Diceros bicornis minor: one gene and its partners. The protein of the gene in region 1 interacts with the protein of each later gene in a biochemical or structural test. Links are inferred from orthologs where the notes say so. Each region holds a gene or a part of one and is shown in the gene's direction. Other genes may lie near its edges.

The links.
Region 2: the proteins of NCL (region 1) and ADAP1 form a complex in vitro, tested with the Homo sapiens proteins (2 studies listed by BioGRID). The link is inferred for Diceros bicornis minor from reciprocal best matches to the Homo sapiens genes NCL and ADAP1.
Region 3: the proteins of NCL (region 1) and TOP1 form a complex in vitro, tested with the Homo sapiens proteins (2 studies listed by BioGRID and IntAct). The link is inferred for Diceros bicornis minor from reciprocal best matches to the Homo sapiens genes NCL and TOP1.

What each region holds. Positions count from the first base shown.
Region 1 is NC_080776.1:19,895,987-19,899,728, reverse strand, and holds the start of NCL (nucleolin), read left to right. Parts: upstream 1-1,441; 5' UTR 1,442-1,571; coding exon 1,572-1,589; intron 1,590-2,732; coding exon 2,733-2,849; intron 2,850-3,742. UniProt on the Homo sapiens protein: Nucleolin is the major nucleolar protein of growing eukaryotic cells. It is found associated with intranucleolar chromatin and pre-ribosomal particles. It induces chromatin decondensation by binding to histone H1.
Region 2 is NC_080765.1:13,550,827-13,554,568, forward strand, and holds the start of ADAP1 (arf-GAP with dual PH domain-containing protein 1), read left to right. Parts: upstream 1-1,105; 5' UTR 1,106-1,209; coding exon 1,210-1,291; intron 1,292-3,742. UniProt on the Homo sapiens protein: GTPase-activating protein for the ADP ribosylation factor family. Binds phosphatidylinositol 3,4,5-trisphosphate (PtdInsP3) and inositol 1,3,4,5-tetrakisphosphate (InsP4). Regulates the incorporation of CD63 and CD9 into multivesicular bodies.
Region 3 is NC_080758.1:19,539,432-19,543,173, reverse strand, and holds the start of TOP1 (DNA topoisomerase 1), read left to right. Parts: upstream 1-865; 5' UTR 866-1,083; coding exon 1,084-1,116; intron 1,117-1,418; coding exon 1,419-1,443; intron 1,444-3,742. UniProt on the Homo sapiens protein: Releases the supercoiling and torsional tension of DNA introduced during the DNA replication and transcription by transiently cleaving and rejoining one strand of the DNA duplex.

The sequences.
Region 1 (3,742 bases):
TGCGCCCCCATCCCGGAGTTCAAAATGGAAACCTCCTCAGGGGACTCTCCACAGATCACCAGAGCCTCCTCCCTGATGAGAGCGCCCCAGCGGGTACTCGTGGGTTTCCTATACACTCAGTCCCAGGAGTGTTCTAGTACGAATTGCAAAATAACTTGATTGCTCACAGGAATCCCCATGCGCCCTTGTTAAAATACAAAGTCCTGGGCCCCAACCCAGGCGTCTTTAATTGGAATCTCCAGAGGTGATTCTGAACATCAGCTCAGTTGGGGAAACATCGTCATAGGTGAAGGTATCCTGGTTTGTAGGAACAATGAGGTACCCGATGCCCAGGACGTATCCTAGGCAGGCTCTAAGCTGAAGAAAGTGCTCTGGGTTAAGTTTGGCATCAATTAAGTTTTGCCCGCAGTGACCCACCTGAACAATGCAAAGACAATCTTCTGTGCCTCCGCCATCGAGGAAACCTTTCCTTTGACTATTTGACCTACTCCTGGACCATCTGGTGACACAGACTTCGCGGCCACATTTTAATGGGTGCTTTAGTCCAAATAAAGAGGGAACTTGTGCATGGTCCAGGGCCTGGCTCTGTGGTCAGCCTGACCAAGTCCCTCTCCCCACCCCACAGATATATAACACCCTGCGACCGCCAGAAAGTTCTCTCTCCGAGCCTGTTCCCTATCGGGAGAAACATCTAGCGCACGAGATTAAATGTGATATCTGTGCACTGCTCATAGTAACTCGCACAAATGTACGCGACTGTCTTTATTAACCGCTCTCAGGAGGCAGCTTTAGGCACGTGGCCCAGGAGGGCATCACCCGCCGAGAGGGGGATTTTTCTGGCCTCTTTCGTTGGCGGGCGGGGCTCAGGAGGGCCCCCAACATGAACCTTGCGGTCCCTGAATTTCCAGAGGTCTCGGGCTCATCAGCAAGGAAACGGGGCGAACTCCTCTCTCCACGGCCGCCGGGAGGCTCAGCGAGGAGCACGCGCCAGAGGCGTGCGTTAGGCCTCCGACGAACTCAAAAGCCGTCCGAGTCGACAAGACCCGAACACATTCGGGAACCGGGGACCACGCGTATTCACCACTCGGGCTCGGGCACAAGCGGCGCCAAAAACGGCCGTATGACAGCGCAGGCGCCGCGAGCGCGGGCCGCGGAGGGGCAGCCGGGCACCGCGCGCCCACGGCCCAATCAGTGCCGGCCTTGCACAAAGCGAGTCCCGCCCCCAGGGCGCCGCCACCGAATCCCCTCCCCCTCCTTGCCTCCTAGGCCCGCCCACTCCCGCCCGCGCCCCGCCCCGCGCCGTTCTCGGGGAGAGGCTCGCGATTGGCTCATGGGATGGACGCGAACTCTGATTGGTCGATACGGAGTCACGAGGGCGCCGTCGTCGCCTTTCCAGAGGCGATTACTGGGCAGGCTCAGTCTTTCGCCTCAGTCTCGAGCTCTAGCTGGCAGCCAAGTGTACGTGCTCCGGGATCTTCAGTACCTGCGGCCGCCATCGACGTCGCTTAGGTTCCTGTGGGCTCGTCTGCGCCACTCGCCCGCCACACGCTCTGCCGTCCTAAGCCGCCATCATGGTGAAGCTTGCAAAGGTAAGAGGCCTTGCCCGCGCAAACACGGACGTCGAGGCCTGCTTTCTGAGGAGCGCGCGCGCGCGGCGCCGCGAGGAGGAGGGCCTGCGCGCCGTCTGAGGCGCGTTCGATGGCGCCATGCTGCGGCAAGTCTCGCGCGATTAGCGGGGAGGTCTCGCGGCTTTTGGCTCCTCGGTAGCGAGGTGAAGAGCTTCGGCAGGTGCCGCGGGTGGTGGATGGGGCGGAGAAAGACTCCGGGACGGAGCGCGGGGAGGGGGCGCTGGGCTTCAGGCCGAGGGATGAGGCCGAACTCCTGCGACGGGCGCGAGCGGGGCCCCGCCTCCTGACGCACGTGCCACGGCGCGGGGCCCGCCACGTGGGCCGCGCCGCGTGGGTCCCGCCGTCCGCGGAGGGAAGCGGGCCGTGGGGCGAGGAGCGGCGGGATGCTGCGGTCGGAGGCCCGGCGGCCTCCGGGCTCGCCACTCGGGCGCGGCGGGCGGGCCCGAGGGGGGCTCGGGAGGGAGGCCCCGCCGCGTGCCTCTGCGCGCACATGGTGGCCTGCGAGGTACCCCACGTGGCCCCGCCGGCCGAAGGGGCGGGGTTGTTACCCTGGGAAAGGAAAACCTCAGAAGGCCAAAGGTCGCTAGGGTACGGCGCGGTTTGGAAAAAAAAAAAGGTCTGAAAGATCGTCGCCCGAATTTGAATATAGATGAGAGCGGTGGAATAAGGGGCCAGAACCTATTTTAAGGTGGTTTTCGCCCCGGCTGAAGGGCTATGGGTTATTGGCTGTTACAAGTGTTCATTTGTAAGCTACCGAATATTTAAAAATTGTGCGGGTTGTAATGATTGATTCTGGAAGTGTAGTTTCAAAGACGGGTGTGCTTAATAAAGGCCAACAGCAAGAGGGAGATAATTTCCTTGAAGTTGGTTTTTCTTCCTATGGTTGGTTTTTGTAAAACCTGACGGAAAATGTGTGGGAGGTTGAGAATTCCCGTCCTAACGTTGATAGCAAGAGGTGGTTTATGATAATTTCGGTATCTAGTAGTATGAAAACTGGATCGTGAGAAAGGGAGATGACTGTATTTTACTGTGAAGAATGATGGCAAAGTATGAGTGGCGTGAAACGTTAGAGGTGTAGTGTGCTAATAAATGTGTGTCTTCTAGGCTGGTAAAAATCAAGGTGACTCCAAGAAAATGGCTCCTCCTCCGAAGGAGGTAGAAGAAGATAGTGAAGATGAGGAAATGTCAGAAGATGAAGAAGATGAGAGCAGTGGAGAAGAGGTAATTATTTGCAGCTTCATGCAGAATTTTGTTGAACTAAAAAATGAGCTAAACAGATGGTATTGGATGTCTGAAAATACTGGCAAAAATAAGATTATATTTGTTCATATATGATCTGTTATGATTGTTGCCCAAGCTCTTCACTGAAGTGTGGAGATACCATAAGGGTAAGTATTTGAGTGAATTTGAGAGAAAATATCTGGAGTCTACTCTTTATGTGCCCTCTGCAAGGCTTGGTGTGATGATGTATTAAATCATTATATTTTTTAGTCCTACATACTAGATGAGGAAACATCCTGGGCAGTTAACTGTCCGATAAGTGGCGGCCCTGAGCATTATATTCAGGTTTGAGGTTAGCCTGTGCTAGCCTCCTAGCAGGATTAATTGGTTTTTATTCCGTTGTATATGCGCTCTGTAACCCTAGTCATTGTACTAAATTATCTCTTGGTGTGGATTAAGGGTTACCACCTCCCTGTGTGTTCACATTGACTCTGTTTAGCACTCCTGACTATTGTTTGCTCACTCTGTAAAGACAACCACTACATTTGTGCTCAGATTGCTTGTTCAGAATTTAATAAAGGTTTTACTCTAACGCATTACCTGATAAGTTAGTAATCAAAAAAGTGGCTTTGAATGTGACTTAAATGTAGATGAATGATGGTTTTTACGAAGCTAACACGTTCACTTTGTATTGATTTTGCAAAGACTGACTGTCCTACTTCATACTCATTTTCTCTGGTCCCAAGAATGAGCTTTCAGTGAACTTGATACCACCACCTGCTGTAGGAGCCCTAAATGATTTAATAACACTTAACATGTAAAGCTTTCTATGTGCAAGCCTTTTATTTGGGTATATAAACTTATAATCAATTTTTAAAACAACAGGTAAGGTT
Region 2 (3,742 bases), on another chromosome or scaffold:
GGTTGTGGACTAGGGCAGGCTGTGCAGCCTTTCTGTGATTCTGACCAACTGAAAATGCCCAAAATGCCCCTCAGCCAGCAACTGGGTGGACAAGTTATGGTCCAGCTGAGCTTTGAGTAGCATGCAACCATACCAAAAAACCCCAGAGGCAGATGGGAAGGAATAGGGACTCCCTTGGTGTTCCAATAGGCTTCGGACCATTCTGGAAGGATGCTACGAGATTGTTGGCCATGGTTGGCTCAGACTCGCCAGGGGCGGGGCTGGGAAAGGTAGTAATTTTCCTGTCTGGTACTGTTTCAATTAGTTTTTATCAAGATGTATCCTTGCATTCACAATTTAAGAAGAAAATGGAAAGAACTTGAAACAATGCAGGAGCATGCAGAGGAGAAAACACCTTTTTGTTGCCTGTCCATCTTTTTGTTGCACCTCCATCTCTCCCCATGTCACACTAGTGTGTTGTTCCCTGGCCTCCTGATGCAGGAGAGCTTTATCCTGTCCCTGCCGTGGATGGAGGGTGGGGGCCCTTCTTCCAACTGAGCCCACGGACACTGGAGCTTGTCACCCGCTAGCCATCTCCTCCCAGGGCAGGGATGGTGTGAGCCCCCAGTCCCCAGCGCTGGGCATGCACCCCTTCCTTCAGCAATTCCCAGGGTGCCCACTGGGAATGGTGCGCAGCCTGGGGGGCGCACAGTAGGTGTCCAGGCGCCGTTTCAGGCCCGAATGACTGCACGGATGACCCCAGCCGGGCTGGCAATTATTTGGTTCCTTCAAGCCCCCACCACCAGTGTGGCTGGCGGCATTGTGCCGGGGCAGGTGGCACGCTGTGCCCGGATAGGGGTGGGCGGCGGCGGGGAGCCCTCCCTGGGCGCGTCCCCGGGGCCCGCGGGCTGGGGGCGCCGGGCCGGGCGGAAGGAGGCCGTCCGCCCGCCCGCCCGCGCCGCTGGGGGCCGCCCGCGGGCCGCGCCGGCCAGAGCGCGCCGTGCACCCCGGGCCCCGCGCTGGCACACGCTCGGCGGCCGCGGCGGCGACACGAGCGGCGGCGGCGGCGGAGCCGGGCCGGGCGGGAGGAATGCGGAACCGGCGCGCGGGCTGAGGCCGCCCAGGATGGCGCAGGGGCGGCGGCGGCGGGCGGCCTGTGCGGGGCTCTAGCGCGGCGGGGCGGACGCTCCTAGCCCGGCCCCGGCCTCGCGGGCGGGCGGCATCGCGGCCATGGCCAAGGAGCGGCGGAGGGCCGTCCAGGAGCTGCTACAGCGGCCGGGGAACGGGTACTGTGCTGACTGCGGCGCCCCGGGTAGGTGCGGGCCGGGGGGGTGCGAGCCAGGTGGGTGCGGGGCCTGGCTGGGTGCGGGCTTGGGTGGGTGCGCCCAGGGTAGGTGCTGGTCTGGGTGGGTGCCGGCCTGGATGCTCGCCTCAGGGCCCGGGAGGGGTGCTGCGGCGCCTGCGTGGCTGGGGGTGCGGGCCGCGCTGCTTGGTCCCCGCTCGGGTGGGGCGCGGGCCCGGCGTGCACCTGCGGGGACCCGGACGTCGCCTGCCCTCGGCCCCAGGCCTGAGGCTGTGTCGCCTACCCTCCCCCCCAGGCTGCGTGTCTCGCTGTCACCCGGGGACCGCCGCCGCGTTGCGAAAGCCGGGGCTCCGCAAAGAAAGAGGAAATCGCGGCGGGCGACCGGCTGCAGGGGGAGAACGGTCGAGCCGGCCGGCGGGCTTCCGTGCGTGGGTGTGGGGTCCACCTGGCTCCCTGCCACTTGGAGGTGACGTCATGGGCCTCCCCCTGGAGCCACCCTCGTGCACCCAGCAGGAGGAGGAAGCCCCGGCCGCCTCCACGTGGACCCGGTGGGAGCGAGCTCCCCTCCCCCAGCCCCACGCCCAACTGCTCTGGGGCAGGTGGCTGGTTCAGGTGGGGCAGGGGGCAGGTGCGACTCGGAACAGGCACTCGGTCCACCTGCACTTCATCCTGCCGGCAGGCATCTCCTGGACTTTGCTCCCGGGTGGCCACTGCTCTGGGGTGATTTCCAAGGCGCTAGTGTCCTGGGGTGCTTCCTCTTCCTTCCTGGGGCAACTCGTCCTGCCTTGGCAGGAACAGGAAAGGCTGGGCTCTCAGACCAGCAGGACTCTGTTTCCCAGCAGGCAGCCCCTGGCTGGTCCTCTGCAGGTCGGGGCCTGGGGGGCCGTGGGGAGTGGGCAGGCACAGCCCCTAGAGGCTCACCTGTTCATGCCCCCACCCTGGAGGGTGGCCTAACTCAGGGGCTGTCCCCCAGGCACTCCAGAGGTCACTGGACACTCCACTGGGGGCTCCTAGTCTGAGCCCCTTAGAACAAACCTAGCACCATGGAGTGGCCGAGGCCCCCCAGAGAGGGAAGGTGGGAAGACACTGCATCTGTCCCAAGACACCTGTTTGAGATGCACAGCCTCTGGATACCCCCAAAATAGGACCCAGTCCCCAGCTCTGCCCTGTTGCCCACCCCCTGGGCTGGGAGGGGTCTCTGACAGCCCCAGGTCCTAGCAATCGTCTGGTTGGCCGCTTGAGTGTCCCAGAGAGGAGGCAATGACAGGCTTTTCTGGAAGCCGGGCAGGCTGAGACGGCCTTTCCCGCTCCCGCCTCGTGCACACAGGACAGCACTGGGCCCGCCCCGGCGGTGCGGTGGGGGCGGCAGTGCCATCGCTGCTGTGCGCTGCTTCTGCCAGCTGGGCTCACCCCAGACTCTCCCCACCCCCCTTTCCCAGACCTGTATTTCCACTTGTCCAGGAAAGCTGGCCATGCCAGGGCGAGGTCGGTGAGAACAGGTGGTCAGCACGGCCCGCTCTCAGGCTTGGCCTGGGGAGATGAGGGCCCTGACCCTCTCCTTCCTGGCCGCACTGCCCAGGAGCGGCTTCTTTGGACCAGAGCCTCCCTCCAGCCACTTCTGGGCCCCCCAGCCTCGCAGGAGGGAGAGGGGTCTTCCTTGGCATGGTGGGCCCTGCAGCTGCCATGCCCAGCCCACCCAGTGGGGCCAGGGGCCATTGCCCCGAGGCAGGCACGCTGGGCTCTGGAGCAGTCAGCTCTCGAGGAGCCCAGCTTTCCCTGGCCTTGGGCCAAGCCTCTCATTTTTCAGAATTGGCCCATGACATCAGCATCTTGCCTCCTCTGTCTGGTAGCCCTGTAGAGCAGGCGAGATGTGGGCAGTTGCCTCCATTTTACAGCTGGGGAGACTGAGGCCTTGAGAACTTGAGCTGTCTTAGGGGACTTGGTGCCTCAAAGGCAGACCAGGTCTCCTGACGCCAGCCCCAGCCCCAGCCCCGCCTGCTCTGCTGTGCCCGCTTCCGGCCTTCTGCCCTGCTCCACAGGGTCAGGAGATGAGACCTGCTGCCCTTCTTCCCCCTTGTGACCCCGTGCAATGCCGCCCATGGTCTCTGCTTCTCGGCTGAAGCCCATGTGGTCTGTGCATGTTCTGTGCCACTGTGGGGTGCCTCTGGGGCCTCCTGTCCCTGCTGTGGCCCAGATGGGTGACTGGGGGCCACGCTGGCATTGATGGGGGCAGCAGGAGGGATGGTGTGTCACATGGACTGGCTCATGGCTGCTCTTCCCGACCACAGCTAGCCAGGAGCAGGGCATCCTGGAGTGGGGTCCATGTGGCGTTGGCTCTGACAGCAGGGCACAGGATGGGCCTGGGCTGCCTCTAATCTCTAGGCCTGGGGTTTTTTGGAGTAGACATGGGAAGACCTGGCCAGCTGGCCATGTGAGGGCGGCTGGGAGGGAGGCAGTCTG
Region 3 (3,742 bases), on another chromosome or scaffold:
AAACGGCAGCTCTTTCTCCATTCATTTCATCTCCCCTCTGCCCCATAGCATGCTAGGGATACAGCGATGGACAGAGCCAAGTCGTGTTTACCCCCGAGGTCCGGTCTCCTCTGGCCCCCTGCCCCAACCCCTTTCTCAGCACAATTCCTGGCTCACAGTAGAGGCTCAATACATGTATGTAGAATGAACGAATGAAATTAGGCCTCATGTGACACAGGGCTACATGTACCCAGCTGAAAACTGGAGCTAAACCAGACCTTCGGTTGGTTGAAAAATTAAAATAAATTTTAGGAAGTGGGCGAGAAATAATCCAGAAGTTGGAAGGCCTGGACAAAGGCTGGGGCGGGGGCTCCTCCTGCCAAGCGGCCTCAGGGTCCAGTTAGCGAGCTAAGGAGAGCTGGTGAGAGCTCTGGGGCCCCGGCTGTCAAGTTACTTGCAGCTCAAGCGATCCAAGAGGCGGCATATCAGCTCGGCCCGGGCCTGGAGCGGTCCCGCCGCGGCCTTTAAAGGCCCACCACGTGGCCGCGCTGCCGGCCACGGTCCGGAGGCGGAGTCCCCGCTGCGCCTGCGCACTGCCTATCAGAGGGATCCGGAGTTCCGAGAAAAGGCGCCGGGAGAGGAAGGGAAGGTTGCTGAGGGTGGGCGGCCGTGGGAGGAGTCGGCTTCTTATGCAAATCACAGAAGAGAGCGAGGGCTAGGGGCGGGGCTTTCGATGCAAAGCCGGGTACGCCTCAGGAAGCGCGAGGGGGCGGGCCCCGCAACCCTCGGCCTCTTTCCGCGAGTCTCTGACGTCGCCGACGTCCCGTTTAAAAGCGGCCGCGCAGGCGCAGTGGGCCGAAATGCGAACTTAGGCTGTTACACAACTGCTGGGGTCTGCTCTCTCCGCCTGCCAGGCAGTCAGTCAGCGCCGCCGCCACCGCCGCCGCCTCAGCCGTTCCGGGAATCTCGGGCCCGCCGCCGCCGCCGCTTACCCACGCCTCCGGGAGCCTCCCGGAGCCCCCGTCCGCCTGCACAGGCCGGTCCCGACCGTCCGCATCCCGTCGGCGCCCCTCGCCGCCCGGCGCGCTCGCCGCTCCGGCCGACATGAGCGGGGACCATCTCCACAACGATTCTCAGGTACGGCCCGGCCCGGCCCAGGCTCCCGACCCCCGGCGCAGGCCCTGGCCCCGGCGCCGGCCCGGCCGCTTTGACAGGCCGGAGCCCCCGGCCGGAGGCGGCCGGCCGGAGGAGATCGGCTCGCTGGACCCCAGGCGAAAGCCGCCAAGTTACAATTCGGGGGGCTGGCTGCCCCCTCAGGCCGCCCGGGGGCCCCTTCATCCCTGGGGGCGCGGGGTGGGCTAGGCCCCCGGCCGCGCGCGCTCGCCGCCCGCGGGGCTCCTGTGCTTGTTGTTTCACATTCCCTCCTTTTCTCTCTCCAGATCGAAGGGGATTTCCGACTGAATGGTGAGTGTGCCCCCGACCCCGAGCCCCCCAGCCGCCGGCCGCCCACCCCGCGCCCTGCCCGAGCCGGGCAGAGGACAGACATGGCGTCCCAGAGACTAAGTCCCGGCTCCTCGCTCACCGGCCCCATTGTTCCCATCGGGCCGCCTCTGGACCCCCTTTCCGGGGACCCCAGCGCCCCCAGATCGCGGCCCTCCCCAGAGGGGGCAACGGAGACCCCGCGTCGCCCGCCGCCGGGCCTCGGGCGGCCTTTCCGGGCCCGGATTCCTCCCGGGAAAGTCGCCTTGTCGACAGTCGGGACTTAGTCTCTGCGCCATTTTCTTTTTCTCTCTCCTCTCCTTTCTGTGGCTGTCTTTCTCTCCCTCCCTCGGCTCCTTCCTCGAGCTGCCCAGAAAGAGCTTTCTGCCGAGCAGAGCCCTGTAAATCACAGACCTCACCCGGGAGGGAAGGGTGGGAGACTCAATTGTTACTGTTTTTCCCGAAGAGAACTTTATTTTGGGGGTTATTCCCTTTCTGCTTCTTGTTGGTTTCCTTTTCTGTTTCCAGAATGAAAGATACCCTTCGGCAAACTGTTGATTTTTTTTTTTTTTTTTTTTTTGGTAAGATGCTTATGATAGGAATTATGGCTCTAAAACGAAAGCCACCCTCTGTGGAGTTCTTCATATTTTGAGGTTGTTTTCCCCAAGTTGTGTTCTTTGCAAAGGTAGTTGTACCTCTCTTCAAAAAGTTTGCGAGTTCTGTATGGGCCATCCAGTGTAAATGTTGGAATGGGGCGTATTGATTTTTTTTTTTTAAATAAAAGTATTACTGACCAGAACTTTTCATGTTGCTGAGGTTCCTAAGGCAATGTTTTTTTAGAAACGCAGTTTAGTGTACTTGTCAGGAGGAAGGGTTGTTGAGCATCTCGTCTGGACCTGGTGTACTGGCGTTTTCTTTTGGGCTGTGGGGAAGGAAAAAAGATTTTATTTAATGAAACAAAGAGTGGCCAGCAGCCACCCCTGCTTCCTGTTCATTCTTTTTCAGAAGCCGCTGTTTTTCAGGAATAGAGAGCTAGCTTGCTTTTCCTGGATCTTTATGTCTTTGAACCCTTTTCAGCCAAATCAAGGCATTTATTCTTTGAGTATTTCCACTTCAGTTACCCAATGAAGATTCCCCCAATAAAAAGCTCACCCTGTGGGCTTTTCAACAATCCTGTTGAAGGAGAAGGTACCCTCTCTAGTGTGCTGGGAATTCCCACTGATTCTGATGGTACATAATCCTGCTCAATTGAGTTTGGGTTCCGGGAACGTCTCCAATGGGAGAAGCTGATGAGTAGGTTTTCTGATGTTGTAATCAGCAGTCCATCGTGTTAGCCTGCTCTACTGAGAGCGGCCTTATGTTCAGCTTTTGAAGTGGGGCATCCAGTGGGAGATGGTACTCTGTGAGGAAAGAATCTGGTTCAAGTGTAGCGTTTCTTGAGCACCTAGTATGTTATAAGCACTGTGCTTAGTGCTAGAGCTGAACCTTCTGCCACAACGCTGCTCATGTCTTCTATCTAGTCTATTGGGTGAGATGTAATTAGTTAATTATAAGGTAGGTACTGGGGTATATATATACCCAGAATGCTTTGGGAAACTAGGGGACTTAATTTTGTCTGGGGGTGGGGAAATTTCTCAGAAGGTGACTTCTGAGCTTGGTGTTGTGCAAGACTAGGTGCTGAGTGTCAGGGGTTGGAGTATTTCTTAACTGTGTTTAGCCAACCTATCAGGATTTTAAAAGAGGGAGATGAGGTCCTGCAGTTCAGAAAGCCAGCAAGAGTATAGATATGTTTCTTTGGGATGTGTGAGCAGAGAAATGATGTGGCAGGTGAGGAGGTAAGAAGTCCTTTTGACCTTTCTTGGAGGAAGGTAGGATCTTCATACAGAAAAAGTGTTCTTTTAACTTTCAAGCTGGGCTGAGTAGGTAATGTATTTAGTAATGAAACAAAGGTTAGTCCTTTCTCCTGGGAAAGTTAACCTCCATGGTTCTCAGCTAAATTATACAAAGGAACTATTGAGTATTTGAATGATTGTGGGCTGGGTAGGTTATTGATCTGTACGGCCACTTGTATAGAGACTAAGTAAACTGGCTATGTGGAGTTTTAGAATGTGTTTGTTTGCTTGTAATAGCAGTAATTACTAATATTTATTGAATGCTTACTCTCTACCAGAAAGGAATCTCAGCTCTTTCCATGGATCATCTAATTGAATCCTCGGAAGGACTCTTATGAATTAGGTTCTGTTATCTCCAATTGATAGGTGAGGAAACCGAGGCTTAGGTATGT